Linked DNA regions of Struthio camelus. The protein of the gene in region 2 interacts with the protein of the main gene of each other region in a biochemical or structural test. Links are inferred from orthologs where the notes say so. Each region holds a gene or a part of one and is shown on either strand. Other genes may lie near its edges.

Region 1 (7,836 bases), on a different chromosome or scaffold from region 2:
CTCTGCTCCTGGGGTGGGGGCCACCCTCCTGCCTGGTGTGGTGTGGCTCTGCCTGACCTTGCTCCTCCCATTGCAGATGAACGGGGCTGTGCCTTCTGCGGTGGCCTGGGCCATCGCATCACTGACTGCCCCAAGCTGGAGGCGATGCAGACGAAGCAAGTCAGCAACATCGGCCGCAAAGACTACCTGGCTCACAGCTCCATGGACTTCTAGCCTGGGGATGCTGCTGCCCAGTGCTGCCTCCACCGAGGCTGGGAGAGAGGGCCGAGCTTTGACTCTCTTTGGGCAAACAGCGCTGTCCCCCCTGCAGCTGCCCTCATTTCCCAAAGCCCAGACCAGCCCGGACTGCAGGCCTGTCCTGCACCGCTGTGGCTCCTTTTCAAAGCATTTGGGCACTGGGGACTGTTGCCCGCTCAGCCTGCTGAAGCTCCTGCTCTAGGAGGAAATGTGAGGAGCTGTGCTGCAACAGCCCATTACATCAGCGGCATGTTGATGTGAAGCATTGGGCAAGCGGGTAGTGGTGCCTGTGGGGTGGCTGCTCTGTGGCCAGCTGTCTGCAGCCCCTACTCAGCTTCCCCGTGGTGGCATGGCTGGGGTCTGGCATTGCTCTCCTCCAAAGCCCCTGGATTCCTCTGGGACTGTTCCCCCGCAGCTCGTGTTGTGCACTCTCAGCTGGTGGCTGCCTCCTTTCTGCTGTGCTCTGACCAGGGCAGTTTCTGTTACCCGCAACTGTGCCCTGATGCAGCCAGGGCAGGGCAGAGCATGCTGTGCTCATGTCAGGCAGGCCCCTAGGAGCTTCCTTTGCTCTTGCTGCATGTGTTCTGCCCCACTGCCCTCCTGTGAGGGGGAGGGAGGATGGACACCTCCTGTGGCCCAGCCTGCCCCTCATCCCACACAGCAAAAAGGGGAAGTCGCTGAGAAAAGGAAGTCTGCCCCATTTAGTTGCTTCAGCTGCAGCAGTCACACTTCTCTGCTGCTGATGGTCTGAGTCCCAGATCCTTGCACTGGCTGCCAGGGCAGTGCTGTGCCCATGGAGAGACCTGTGAAGGATGGGATCCTCTATGTGCAACACAGCAAATTTGGAAAGGTAAAAGGTGGAGGGTGGGTTTGGGGTGGGTTGTAGAGCTCTGTCTTGCCCTGTTCTGCCTTGATGCTAGACCCTGGGGGAGGCCCTGACCGGATGGGGAATACTGGGTCCTCCACAGCTTCGGCAGGGGAACGACAGAGCCAGACCCCTTGGGTAGGGCAGAGAGGGCCCTGGCCTCTGTAGCTGTAACGGAGTGGGGCAAGGTGGCTCTCCCCACAGCTGAGGGGACTCCCCCGAGCAGGCCTCTGCTCACACTGACCCCCATGTACAGGGTCTGTCCCCTTGCCTGATCGCCACGCGATTCGCGATGAAACAATAAACGTGTGTTAATGACGCATAGCTCCGGTGCTTGTGTGCAAGTGGGGCAGCAGGGGTGGGAGCCCCTTGCAGCTCCTGGGGGTGGTGGGACCACACATAGGAAGTTGCTGTGCGCCAAGCCTTCGAAGAGCCTGACCGTGGGGGGCAGTGCTGTGGGAAAAGCCAGCCGCAGGGCTGGACTCGCTGCCCAGCTGCTCGGTGTGCTGAGCCCTTGGGGATGGGCACTGAGTGCCAAAACCCTCTGGGCACGTTATGGGTTATGTTACTGGAGTCCTGGTAGGAGCTGTGAGATGGTGCTTACAAGGCAGGTCCCACCACTTCGCTGACCGTGCCCAGCAGCATCCCCGCTGCTTCAGCGGGGTGGCTCTGCCCCTTCCTAGAGCCCGTGGGGTGCAGTCAACCCTCCGTGTGCTCAGTGGACGTGCTGGGCCACGGCTGTGCCTTCGATACTCTCACGGAGCTGCTCTAGTCTCCCTGCCTGCGAGAGCTGAGTCCTAGAGCTGAAGTGGGCAGACCCCTATGTGAGCAGAGGCCGATGCCCTGCCATGTAGGACGCAGGTGGGCTTACGGTGGCGGGTATTTTGGGTGCTCGGCTGCGCGTAGGTTCACTGGGGTGGAGGCCATGTTGTGCTCTTGAGGTGTGTGGGGGGGAAGCGCCCTCTCTATCCCATGACAGGCTGGGAAGGTGCTGGTACCACAGAGCGTCCCCTGGGAGGAAGCGGGTTGCTAGCTGCAGGGACTAACTGTACTTGGTAGGTGTGAGCTGCCTGCAGGAGCCCAAGCAGCTCAAAATGGCTTTAATTTGCATCATGGTCTGTCCTGAAAACAGCTCAAGAGGCTCAGCTGCAGCAGCAGCAGGCTAGCACTTGCAGCAGGGAGCAGAGGGCAGGATGCCTGGGTTCCCTTCCCAGCCGAGGGCGAGCGTGACTCACCAGGCGAGCGGAGCCGACCTCGCTGGAGGGCCAGGCTGGCCACCTCGCTGACCTGGCGGCTGGCAGCCCTGGCTTTGGGGCTGGCCTGGCCTGCGGGTGCTGGGGGACCTGAGAAGGCCCTGCTTGCTGTGTCCTCCCCCAGCACGCGCAGTGTGCCCAGCCCCGCCAGGGGTGCGGGAAGGGCATTGCGTGTGCCCGGCGTGCCCTGTCCTGCCAAGCATGGGCTGGAGCCCTTACTGTGCTGGCTGACGCGATAAGGAGGGCAGTGCCGGTGAAGATGCAGCAGGCAGTTGTTTGCTGACCTTTTGTTCCCCTTGTCTGTGCCCTTCCTGCACCCCAGAGGTTCTGGAGGAAGATGCGAGCGCAGCTCTTTGCTGCCAGCCCGTCCGGCGTGGCCCGGATGGAGAAGTTTGATGTGCGGGATGACGGCACGGTGCTGGAGAAGTCCTCCCTGCGGAGGTGCGCCCGCCGGGTGATCCGCCTCTCGGACTGCGTCTCCGTGGGGCCCGTCAGCACTGACAGCTGCCCCAAAGCCACCGCTGCCTTCTACCTCAACACCACGGAGAAGAGCTATGTGCTGGCGGCCGAGCAGCGGGACGAGTGGATCTCTCAGCTCTGCCAGCTGGCTTTCCAGGTACCGCGTCTTTGGGGTGAGCGGGGCCACGAGCAGTGGGGTGGGCAGGCTGCACAGCTGGGACCCCCCTCACCCTGCTCCTGGTTTGGGTGAGCCAGGGGGGCTCCCTCCCTTGGTCCCTGGCCATCACCTTGGGGTGGAGGGTGTTGCTGGGGCATGGGGCCAGGATGCAGCAGGAGAAGGGATGAGTCCCCTTGGGGGGACTAGTCGGGGGTGGTTTTGAAGGCAGGCCCCTACTGGGAGAGTTTCCACTGCACGTGTGCAGCAGGGAGAGGTGCTACAGCCCTGCTTGCAGGCCCTCGCGCTGCCCCATCTCTGCCCGCGCCTTGTGCCACCGCGGCATGTTCGGAGCAGCCCCAGGGCCGAGCTGCAGGACGAGGGTGCCCGGGGCGGGGGCCGCTCTCACATCCCTCTGTTTCAGGGTGCAAAGGAGGTGCCACAGAGCAGCGCCAGGACCCAGCCCGGCTCCGACGTCCACATGGAGGAGAACTCCCTCTACTCCTCGTGGCAGGACCGTACGTGCCATGGGCTGGGTGGCGGAGGGGGCTGGGGCGGGCAGCAGCTCAGCGTGGCAGGGCTGATCCCGGTGCCGTTCTGCTCCCGCAGTGACAGAGTTCCTGGTGCTGGTGCTCAGGACGGACGCAGCCGCCCGCTGCGGCCTGCACGGGCACTACCTGCTCGCAGCTCTCCCCCAGAGCCTGACGCTGAAGGACCCGCAGTCCCGCCAGCCCCTGCTCACCTGGCCCTACTCCTTCCTCCGCAAGTTTGGCCAGGACCAGGTAGGTGGTGCCCCGCTCCCTGACTTCCCTAGGGCAGGTGAGGTGGGCGCCAGCCCCTCACCCTGCCCTCCGACCTCGCAGACAGTCTTCTCCTTCGAGGCCGGCCGCCGCAGCGACTCTGGCGAGGGCACCTTCACCTTCAGCACCCCGCGGGCCCCGGAGCTCTGCCGGGCCGTGGCCACCGCCATCGCCTGCCAGCAGCAGGACAAGGATGCCCCGGAGACCCGGATCCCCATCCCGGGCACCGAGCCCCAGCCCCGGGGACCCGCCTCTGAGGAACCGCAGCCTGGGCCAGCCGCAGGGAGGGTGCAGCCCAGCTCCCAGCCCAGTTCCCAGCCTGCCCTGGGCCTCCTCCGCTTCCCAACCTCGGAGCCCGATGGCACCGGCCCCATCATCTACGCCTCCATCGCCCGGGGCCAGCAGCCCCTCTTCGGGCTGGGGCAGCCTGGCCCCAGCGAGCCCTGGGCCGCGGGGAAGCCGGCCGCCGAGCACCTCTATGAGAACATCTTTGCGGCGCAGCTGGGGCGCACAGAGGAGGAGGAGGAGGAGCACGAGGAAGGGCAGTGGGAGCTGGGGTGCCGGCAGGCCCCCGAGGGCCACAGCGGCGAGGCAGGCCCCATCTACGACAACCGGGAGGCGGTGGCGGCGGCGTGGGGCGGCCCGCAGCCCCCCGGCCCCCCGGAGCAGCGCTGGGGTCCGGCGGGGCGCTGTGCCCACGAGGAGCCCCCGGGGCGCCCCGGGCCCAAGCCGCAGGGCAACCTCAAGGCCAAGCTCGTCCGGCTGCTGAGCAGGGAGGCTCCTGCCGCCGGGCAGCGGGACTGGCTGTGAGCCGGGCCGGCCGGGCCTTGGCGATACGGTGAATAAAGAGGCTGCGCTCGAGCCGGCTCCGTCCTTGCTCGCGGGTGGGAGGGGGCGCCCGCGCTGCGCCTGCGGCGCCCGCATCTCGCCGTCAGGGGGCGCCGTCGTGCGCGCCCCGGCGCGGCGGGCGGTCGGCGAGCTGATTGGCCGAGCCGGCCGCCGGCACCGCCCACCCCACCCCCGGCCGTACTTAAAGGCGGGCCGGGCCGGGCGGGGGCGGTGCCCCGAGTTCGAGTCCCGCGTCCGGCTGCTCCGCTCCGCTCCGCTCCGCTCCGCTCCGCTCGGTCCGTTCGGCCCCGCTCCGCTCCGCCGGGGCGGCCCGGCGCGGCCCGGCCGCAGGTGAGCGCGGGGCGGGACCGGGGCTGCCAGGGGGCCCGGGCCTGGGCGCGGGGGCGGCTCATCCGGCTGGGGGCCCGCATGGGGCCGGGTAGGGGCCTGTGTGCGAGGAAGGCAGGCAGAGTGCTCCGGCAGGGCCCGTGTGGGGCAGCGCTGGGGCTCGGGGCCCGCCCCGACGGGGTGCCGCGGGTTTGGAGGGGGGGCCCGAGCTGTGGGAAAGGGGGCCAGTCCGGCCTGCGCAGGGGGCTGTGTGGGGCGGGGAGGGGGGCCCCGGGTCGGGGTCAGGGAGGCTGGCTGGCCCCGTCTGGACAAGGGGCCCGTGTGGGGCAGGGCTGGGGAACGGGGGGGGGGGGTCGTGTGGGGCAGGGGTAGAGAGCAGGGGGGCCCGTATAGGGCAGGGTAGGGGGGCAGGGGTAGGGAGTGGGGGGGGCCTGTGTGGGGCAGGGCTGGGGGCCCAGCCTGGCTGCCCATCAGGAGTGGGTGCCCCAGGGCCACCCAGGTGCCTTGCGCCAGCCCCATGGGACGTGGCCGTAACCCCTCGCGGAGGGGCTGTGTGGGCCCACCCCATCCCTCCAGATCACTTCTCTGCCCCCCACCAGCACCCTGCCCCAGGGCTGCCGGAGACCCCTGGCTGCTGGGGCCCCCCCAGCCCTGACCTGGGCGTGTGGGGCGCTGCCGGCCGCCTTGGGGCAGACCGCCACGGTCCCGGCCCCGAAGGACACCGCGCCTTGCCCCGGTTTGTGCGGCTGCTCGGTGCTGGGGAATGTCTGACACGCAGCCTTCACCCAGCCTTCCCGAGCGGGGAGCACGCTGGTGTCATCTTACAAGCCTTATATAGCCCGCCCGGGCTTGGGGAGAGCGGGGGCTCGCCGGCCCCCGGCCCTTGCGCCTCCACTGCCTCCCGGCTAGGAGCCCGAGGTCCCCGGCCCTCGGGGCGCTGGGTTTGTCCCTTCCTTGCGGGGGCAGGAGGCAGGGTCTCGAAGGGGCCCCTCAAGATCTGGGAGGGCTCCTCTTGGCTGAGATGCGGCTGGGAGGCTGGGGCCGGCCCGTGTGCCCCCCGTGCCTTGGCCGGCTGACAGCTGTCAGCGCCGTCCCGGCTGGCGCGCAGGGAGAGGCAGGGATTCCCTCCTCGCTGAAGCCCCGGCTCTGCGCGCAGAGATGGGCTCGCCTCCCAGGTAGCATCTGTTTGGCCAGCTGCTGCAGCACGAGCCTGGCTGCGCTGCCAGTCCGCTTGGTTGGCATCGCGCAGCTACTGTGCCGCTGCTAATTCACCCAGCGAAAACGCCTCTGGTCTCCATCCTTCCACACCCGCTGTTGCTTCTCCGTGGTCTGAAACAGTTTTGGCTCTCAGTAGCGTGAGCTTCCAGGGCGCTGTTGTGCGTACTGCAAGGGAGAGCGTGCCCCAGGTTTGGGGCAGGGAGAGCAGAGCCCGTGAGTGCACTGAGCGTGGCAGTCAGCTGTGTCTGGCTCTTTTGTGCTAGTCAGCATTAGCCTGGGCTCCTCAGCCCTAGGAGATGCTGATGGATTTGGGGTGCGTCTCTAACTGCAGTGTGGGATAGTCGGGGTGGAGCCGGTCCTGGAAGCGTGACCTGTCTCCTCCTGCCCCATCCTGCCAGGTGCTGGGGCCCCGCTCGGCTGCTCTCCCTGCGTTGTTCCCGTGCAGCGTAACACCGGGATCGCACCCTCTTCCTTTGCAGAGATGGGCGATGTGGAGTCCTACAAGGTGATCCTGGATGGCCCCGCGCCCTGGGGGTTCAGACTGCAGGGAGGGAAGGATTTCAGCATGCCGCTCTCCATCTCCAGGGTAAGAGAAGCTGAGCCTCGGTAACGCCCATCCTGTTCCTACCTCTGCGGGTAGGAAACTGTGGCTGCTGGGACCAGGTGACTGAGGCGGCAGCTGTATGGGGACGTGGATGAGGTGGGACCCTTGGAGTGCTGGGTCCTGCTGTGGTCTCGCTCCGCTTAGCCTCTACTGCACCACCCCGTTGCCTTATCGGCCCTCGTCTGGCAGGGGACGTGCGTGCCGGGGGTGTTCCGGGCAAGAAGAGCAGCAGAAATTTGAAGTACTGCAAAGCCTCTGCAGAGTCATTCTGGCTGCTGGGGGAGGTAGGGGAGGCCTCTTCCGGAGCCTGTCCGGCAGCTGGGGGAGGGGAGCCGCTCTTCTAGCCTCCGCGCCGTGGGGCTGGCCTCCTGGTCCGGACTGTGACGCTGGGCCTGGCCTCCTGGGGTCTGGGCTCGTGCAGCGGGCTCAGCCCTTCTGTCCTCCCTCCTGCTGCTCGGCTTCCAGCTCCAGCCCGCGTCCGAGCTCCCTCTGGCCCTGGAACGGGCAGAGAGGGGAGGAAGCCCACGCTGCTGCCGGCGCTGGGACGGTGGCCCCCGGCCCGTTTCCCCAGCGCCGAACGTGTGCGTGTGAGAGGCTTTGTGCTGCTGGCTGCTCGCAGCCGAGGCTCTTCGCGCGAGCCGCCCCTGGTGCGACGCTCGCCTGGACCAGGTGTGGTCCCTGTCCCCTTGCACGGGCGCTAGCGGGTGGCTCTGGCCGCGCAATTGCCTTATAAGCCTTGGAATGCGTCTGTCGTCCGCGCTGCTGACGCTCCGGCAGCTGGCACGGGAGGCCGCGTCTCGAGCGAAGGCTTTGCTCGCGGGCGCCGAGCGCTGCCTGGGGGCCTGCTCCGTAGCACGAGCCAGGCTCTCCGCGGCTGTCCCGGTGGGCGCGGGTCCCTGCAGCGCCCCGGCAAGGAGCGCAAACCCTGGGGGCACCGTGCGAGGCTGGAGCCACCGGTGCCGTCCCCCCGAGGCCTGCCGATCTTTGCCGAGCTGAGGGCTCCGCGCTGAGACGGCTTCAGCGAGTTTATTCTCTAAAAAATGTTTCTCTTGGCTGCGAGCCAGCGCCTA
Region 2 (7,365 bases):
GCAAGCTAAAAAGAGCAAGGGCAGAGCTGTCTGTCTTTTTTTCCAGCTTACCTGTGCATGCTGGAGAGGCCTGCCAGTGGTGGATAGTATTATGCAGAGCTCTGAGAGCAAGTGGATAGCTTAAACTGCAACCAAATGGTGCCCCTAAAGCCCAGAACATGATGGAGAAAACAACGTGACCCCCTCTTTAAGAACATGGGTAGGAGTATGCATCCTCCATAGCCACCAGCCTTGTGGAGAGCTGCACCATGAGCAAGGCAGAGGCAGCATGGCTTCGACTGATGCTGTTGTACAAACGCGGCTGGAGAACTGGGAACGGTGTCTGTCTGAACACAGCTGCCTGCTCGGCTGTATGTACCTGCCTGATGCCTTGTGTGTTTGGGAGGCTGCTGCCTCAGCAGGCGCGTGAGCTACCTGCAGGCATCTGCTTGCCCCTTTAATGAGTGGTGCTCTCCTCTAATCACCGCTGGCCCCGGGCACAGGTGGCAGTTGCCGCTTTGGCATTCAGCTCCAAAGGGTTGGAGACACCGACTTCTCGCATCACCCTCCGTCTCCCTGGCGTGACCCTCCTTCCCTTGCTGCTGCAGCCAGCTCACAGGCGCGGGGCGAAGGATTAGTCGGGGAGCTGTTCACGGGGTGGCTGCTTCCCAAAGGCAGATTAAGAGTAGCTTGACCCTGGCTTCTTGGCAAAGCCCCTGGCACCTTCCTCCTCCTCGGGTGTCCACACCTCGCTGCTGGGCGAAGCCGAGGCTGCAGCACAGGAGGGGACGGCGGGGGGTCTCCTGCTGCCTGGGCTCATCCTCTGCTTAGAGATGCACCAATAAGTAGTTTTTCTAATTAAAGCACCCTGCATCTGAACCCCAGAGAAGCCGGATGATGGCTGCTCCATCCCTGGCTCTCTAGAGCTCTACAAAGGCGGTGCTGGTGCCTGTGCTGGCTCCTTTGTCAATAAAGGACACCGTAAAGGGGGTAGGGGCTCTTCCAAAGTACCTTTATTCCGAATTATTCATTTTCTGCTGCCACAGGAACACTCAGCAACCTCCATGGGACCATGTAAATTAGTTATGGGGGCTCTGACTTTGTAAGACTTGATCGAAGGGGGTTTCGGTGGCAGTTCCCAGGGATGCAAAGCAGGGAGCTGGGGCCTGCGCTGCCCCTGACTCACCCGGCCTGCCAGGAGCCGGCTTGGGGAGTTACGCAAGCCGAAAACTGATGGCTGGAGAAAAGAAAGAAGAAATAGGAGAAACAGCAAGTTCAGCTCCCTGGAGCGTGGGGTGGGAGAAGCAGCAGCGCCGGAGTTGGCCAGGAGGCAGGAGTCTGTGCCCGGGCGAAGGAGAGTCCCAGCAGCGGCCGAGACAGGGGCTGTGCCGGGAACCGCGTAACTCGGGGCTGCGGGAGCCAGCTCTGCCGGCAGGGGATGGGACCGAGCCCTGGTTAGCGTGGCTGGGCAGGGGGAAAGGTCGGGGAGGTGGATTTGGGGGAAGAACGTGAACGGCGGAAAGCATTGCTTGAGTCTCCAGTTTTTTTGCTGCACCTGATGCTTGGCCGTAGGTTGTCGGAGGCTTTCTCTTCTCCGTCGCCTGTATTCTGCATTTTCTTCCTGGCATTTACGGAGTGGGGTTTCTTCCTCCTCTTTGCCTCGGAGGAACCGCTAGTGAGAGTGGTTCCCAGCTGATCTGTCGCTAGGCTCAGTTAAGATGCTGCAGACTTTGAGCAAACAGACTGTAACAGCTACAGCTCGGTCCCTCCGAGTGATGATCTGGAGCTGAAAACAAACAGCGAGGAAAGTGTGCCGCGGGGAGCCGAGACGCTGGGGACCAGCTCAGCGGCAGGCTGGAAATCGAGCAGCAGGGCTGTCGGGGCTAGCCATAAACATCTTTGCCGTGCTCCTCCGCCCTGAGCACGCTCGAAAAGTGAGAGCCCGACGCGCTCTGTCACTGCAGGGGACCCGCCTGGTCCTGAGCTGAGCTCTCAGTTAGCCAACGCCGGCACGCAGCAAGAGCAAGGTCCTGGGCGAGGACCGAAGGGCCTCACGCCTTCCATTAAACAGCACTGGGAAAGGATGGGCAGAGCAAAGGAATAAAAGCTGTGGTTTAAAACTGAAGATCCTCTCTGCTCAGCACAACAGCGGTACTTTCGAAATCCCGAATTAAGGCGTGCGCTGGTCGGACTAACGAACTTAGCCGCTAACCCTCCGCGTCCCTTTCTGCTTCCAGAGCCTCCCTGCGCGCGCGCCCCTTGCTTCGGGTCTGGCCGAGAGGCGGGGAGGGTGAGAAGCCGCGGAGCCAGCCCTGCCGCTGTCCCCTGGCAGTAGCCAGCGACGAGCTCGGCGCGAACGCGGTCAGGAGCGACGCCGAGCCCGGCACGCCCCGTCCTCGTCCCCGCTTCCAGTTCCATAAATCAGCCCGATCGGGGAACTAGGTCATCTCTTTGCCTGCAGGAAAAATAGCTCACGTTTGCTCTACAGTAGTATTTGCTACTTCTGTCTGGCTACGCAGGCCCGCATTGAGCCCGGCGTCTGCTCCGCGGGGACGGCAGCACGTGTCTAAGCAAACAGGACAACCTAGTCTCAGCCAGCTGGGTGTAAAAGAAGGCTGGCCCGGAGGTTTGGCGCAGGGAGGTTGGGGGATGCGCCGTGCCTCGGCGGACAGGGAGGATTTAGGGATCCTTTCAGGATTTTTCTTTCAGTAGCGATTTTGTTTTTGGCTGGCAGCAGAGGTGAGCGGGCTTGTTCAGCGTACACGCATCCTGGCATTGCAAATAGAAGTTGGTGTATGTTTTTTTTTTTTTAAATTTGTTAGTTCGTAAATCAATAGGCTGGGGACGGGTCACGGCAGAGGCGCAAGGACCAGGCCCCAGCGTTAACTGCTGGCCGACCAGGCATTTGGGGAAGCAGTGAGCAACGAGGTGCTCGGGGGGGTTGCATGGGGCGCGGGGGCCACGGCCAGGCTGCTCCCACGGCATCGTCTCCGGCCAGTGGCTGCGTCTGCGGGGGACCGCGGGCAGCCGGGTGGCCCCCCGGGCACATCCCGGCCTTGTGGGCGCGCGGGGACGAGCACCTGAGCCCGCTGGGGGCTGAGCTGCCCTCACCCCCAGACCCACGCACCAGGCTCTCGGGTTGGCACCGCTCTGCTTGAAACCTGGCCCCGTGTCCCCCCCCCCCCCAAAACATCACCCCTCTGCTGCACCCTGCGCCCTGCCACACTGCCCCGGCCCCCACCCTCCCTACTCCACCCACCATTTCCTCCCCTCCACCCTGCCCTGAGCCGCCCACACGCTCCATTCACCCCTCATCCCACCCCAGCCACCCTCCATTCACCCCTCATCCCACCCCAGCCACCCTCCATTCACCTCCATCCCACCCCCACGCACCCTCCATTCACCGCCATCCCACCCCAGCCACCCTCCATTCACCCCTCATCCCACCCCAGACACCCTCCATTCACCCCCCATCCCACCCCAGACACCCTCCATTCACCCCCCATCCCACCCCAGCCACCCTCCATTCACCCCCATCCCACCCCAGCCACCCTCCATTCACCCTTCATCCCACCCCAGCCACCCTCCATTCACCCCTCATCCCACCCCAGCCACCCTCCATTCACCCCCATCCCACCCCAGCCACCCTCCATTCACCCCCATCCCACCCCCACGCACCCTCCATTCACCCCCATCCCACCCCAGCCACCTTCCATTCACCCCTCATCCCATTCCAGCCACCCTCCATTCACCCCCATCCCACCCCAGCCACCCTCCATTCACCCCCATCCCACCCCAGCCACCCTCCATTCACCCCCCATCCCACCCCCACGCACCCTCCATTCACCCCTCATCCCACCCCAGCCACCCTCCATTCACCCCCCATCCCACCCCCACGCACCCTCCATTCACCCCTCATCCCACCCCAGCCACCCTCCATTCACCCCCATCCCACCCCCACGCACCCTCCATTCACCCCCCCCACGCACCCTCCATCCCACCCCCAGACACCTTCCATGCACCCCCACCCCCCTCCATGCACCCTCCAAGGGACCCCCGTGCCACCCCCACGCACCCCCTGTATCACTCCTACCCACCCCCTCTGCCGCCCCATCCACCCTCCGGGCCCCCATGTCACCCCCATTGTTACCCCCGCCCCGCCTCGCCCCCCCGCCGGGCCCCGCCGTCGCCCCCTCTCCGCCCCGCCGCCAGGGGGCGCTGCCGCTCTCCTCCCCCCCGCCCCCCTCCAGGCCGACCTCACCTCCATGGCGGCGGCGCGCGGCCGCGCCGCGCTGCGTGCTGACGTGCGCCGCCCCCTCTCCCGCGGGCGGCGGGGCGGGGGCGGCGCCAGCGCGCTCTCCGCGGCCGGGCCGGGCCGGGCGGCGGGGCTGAGGCGGGCGGCGGCGGCGGCGGCAGCAGGCCCGCATGGGGGTGCCCGGGGCCGGCGGCTGAGACCGGCTCCCCCAGCCCGCGCCCGCGATGTCGAACCCCGGCACCCGCCGGAACGGCTCCAGCATCAAGATCCGCCTCACAGGTAACGGCGCCGCCGCCGCCGCGCGGCCCTCCCGCCGCTTCCCCCCCGCACCGCCGCCTCGCCCGCCCCGGCCTGGCCGCCTCGGCGCCGGCGGCCGCCGCCCCCTCCGGGCCGCGGCCTGGCGGCAGGGCCGGGCGCCGCGAGGGGGCGAGGCCGGCCGGGCTGCCGCCGCTACCGGCGCGAACTTTCCCCGGGCCGCCCCCCCCCCCCCCATATATAATATATATATATACACATATATCCCTAATATATCTTGGCCCCCTGGCCCGCGCCGTTGCCCCCCGGCGGGGTGTCAGGTGCGCAGCCCGGCGCTGCGGGGGCCCCCGGGGGGGGGGGGGGCTCCGGGCCCGGCTCCCCCCCCCCCCCCAACCGCCGCCCGCCAGGACCGACCTCGGCCTCCTGCTCCGCCGCCGAGTTTCCCTTGGGCCGGGCAGGCGCTCTGTGCTGGGAGAAAATGTGGGTTTAGTCGCGGGCCAGGGCTGCCTCCTTCCTCCCCGGCCGCCCCTTCCCCCCTTTTCTCCTTCAGCAGATCGCTCATCCGGCTCCCGAAGTTGCTTCGCTGAGCGATAAGGGGAAGGGGGGAAGGAGCGATAAACTGCGCACCCGCGTGTGGATAAGCCAATTCTGTGTTGCACCCTCCAAGAGCTGGATTAAATCTTCTGGAAGCTGCCCCGGTTGATACTGAGGCTGCTTCCTTAATGGAAAAAGGGCAGAGTTTCTGAGGGCTACGGTGTGAATTATTGATAAATAAAGCCCAGTCCAGGCCTCCAAGGCAACAGGTGCAAACTCGGAGAGCTCTTTCAGCGAACCGCCGTGCTGCTCTGGGTCAGTAACGCTGATCTGCACGGAGTTGTTTCCCTGGGTGCGTTAGGCATCGTCAAATAATGGGGAAGCAGCACTCCTGCAGTTACACACAAGATTAACTTGCTTCTGGCATATAATGCAATCAGTCAGAAATAACTCCTAAAAAAAAAAAGAATCCTGCTTTTTTAATCATTTTTGTTTGGTTTTACACTGCTCTGGCTTTAAGAGACTAAAGTTTCTGGGAAAAAACATAAATAGGACAATCCTTTTCTTGGATGTGAAAAGGTTAAAAAAGGATTTAGGGTGTATGTTTGATCTGAAATTACAGTTTTGCACTGATGCGTGTTAAATGTCAAAGCAGTCCTTAATATAACTTATTTTATGCAACCCAATAAATAAAAATGTTGCAAGAGAAGTAGCTTCTGCCATGCTTACAGCCCTCCTCAACGTGAGGGTATTCTTTAAATAGCAGAAAAAAGCTGTTGGGTTTGATTTTTAAAGGAGGAGTTCTGCATCAAAATGCTGTTTTACTTCTAGCTTGCACTGTTCTCTCTTATTTGAGAACGTTTTGGACATTTTCTGGAATAGAGTGAAGGTTTGGTTTGTTAAATAACTGGATAGATTTTCTTGTTCATATATTCCCCCCTCCCCAAAGAAAAGCTGTACTGAAGAAACCTCCAGCTTGCTCAATCATATCTTCTGTCCTTATGAGCATTCAACCTGGGTGGTGTGCCAAAAATTGCTGTATTTAATCAAAAAATAAATTGCTTTGGGAGAGGTGTTGCTTTGGGAGAGGTGTAGCTTTGGAATCGTTAAGAAACGTGTTCCTGGCTTCTCTGGCAACTAGCTTCTCGACTTACCTGTTTCAAATAGCTGTAGCTAGCATGACTTTTTTTTTTTTTTTTTTTTTTTGGAATCTGTTTTGGTATTGGGAGATTTGAGCTGAATTAAATCAAGACACAGCGCATCTTCTGTTATGGTTTACTACCCGCATTGTGTTTCCTGCGATTATAGCCATTTCTGTTTTCCACTCCTGCAAGGAACTGTGTAAATGCCACTTAGTTTGAAGATGCCTGTGAGGGTTACTTTGTAAACGAGAAGTCGACAGTGATAGCATCTTCCGTACTTTTTGAAAGACATACTTTTTTCTTGCATGTTAGGAAGGTGCTTGTATTAGCACTGTGCTGGGATTATTTTATTTATGTGAATATATATATAAAAAAGTTCTGGCTCCTCTGATGTTTATCAGAAGTGATCTTCTAGCCTTATGTGGAATGGTGTCAGTCCTATCCTGATACAAATCATAATGAAGGAAAATGGCAAATAATGCATCCTGTTTAAAAAAAAAAAAAAAAAAAGAGAAAATGCGGTAATAGCAAGTAAGTTGGATGACAGATTAAAGTGACTTTATCTTCTGTGCGTCTCAAACATGGTAATCTCTCTTCGTATCTGAGTTTCCCCAAAAGCCTGTGCAAAGTTCCTTGTATTTCCGATGGAGCTTTCACCACTGCTAGAGATGTCTAGAATTGTTCCAAGAGACAAGGCCGTAAATATCTTTGGCTCTTACAAGTTAAGGTAAACTGAGCTATCACCAGGGTAGTGTAACAGTGAATGACTTATTTAAAAAAAGATGGAAATAATAAAAAGATATTTTAAGTTCTGCAGTGTACGTGCTTGAAAAGTCCACTGAGTGTGTTCTGGGTTGGGGAGGAATGCAATCCAAAGACCAAGGGACCTTTGCTGAGTGCCTCCCCACCTCCTTTTTCCTTTTTTTTTTTTTTTTCTTTCCTCCCTTTTAAGTGATGTGCTTTTGTCTAAAACCTTTTGTTTGCTGCTGCCGTCACTGTCCCCTGGGGAAGTTCCAAAGGGTTTATCAGCTCCAAGGCTTGCATCCTTCTTGCTCATGCTGTTATATCACCCAGAAGTACGTGTGAAAACTGCAGTCTCATTGTGCTAGATACCAGAGATGCTCCTGTTCCAGGTAGCTTGCAGATTAGGTGGCACATAGAGTTGGAAAGAGAGTGAAGAGGTGGGCAAAACATGTAACA

Evidence for each region.
Region 1: the proteins of SMURF1 (region 2) and PDLIM7 are reported together in a solved structure, tested with the Homo sapiens proteins (2 studies listed by BioGRID, with this or other methods). The link is inferred for Struthio camelus from reciprocal best matches to the Homo sapiens genes SMURF1 and PDLIM7.

The regions. Positions count from the first base shown.
Region 1 is NC_090954.1:9,774,609-9,782,444, reverse strand, and holds the start of PDLIM7 (PDZ and LIM domain protein 7), read left to right. Parts: upstream 1-4,829; 5' UTR 4,830-4,947; intron 4,948-6,560; exon of another isoform or gene 6,561-6,641; 5' UTR 6,642-6,643; coding exon 6,644-6,748; intron 6,749-7,836. Other genes in the region: probable ATP-dependent RNA helicase DDX41, read left to right, coding at 77-213; DOK3 (docking protein 3), read left to right, coding at 1,031-1,087, 2,678-2,971, 3,393-3,486, 3,578-3,750, 3,832-4,578. UniProt on the Homo sapiens protein: May function as a scaffold on which the coordinated assembly of proteins can occur. May play a role as an adapter that, via its PDZ domain, localizes LIM-binding proteins to actin filaments of both skeletal muscle and nonmuscle tissues.
Region 2 is NC_090956.1:4,661,701-4,669,065, forward strand, and holds the start of SMURF1 (E3 ubiquitin-protein ligase SMURF1), read left to right. Parts: upstream 1-4,361; 5' UTR 4,362-4,458; coding exon 4,459-4,513; intron 4,514-4,903; exon of another isoform or gene 4,904-4,957; intron 4,958-5,116; exon of another isoform or gene 5,117-5,175; intron 5,176-7,365. UniProt on the Homo sapiens protein: E3 ubiquitin-protein ligase that acts as a negative regulator of BMP signaling pathway. Mediates ubiquitination and degradation of SMAD1 and SMAD5, 2 receptor-regulated SMADs specific for the BMP pathway.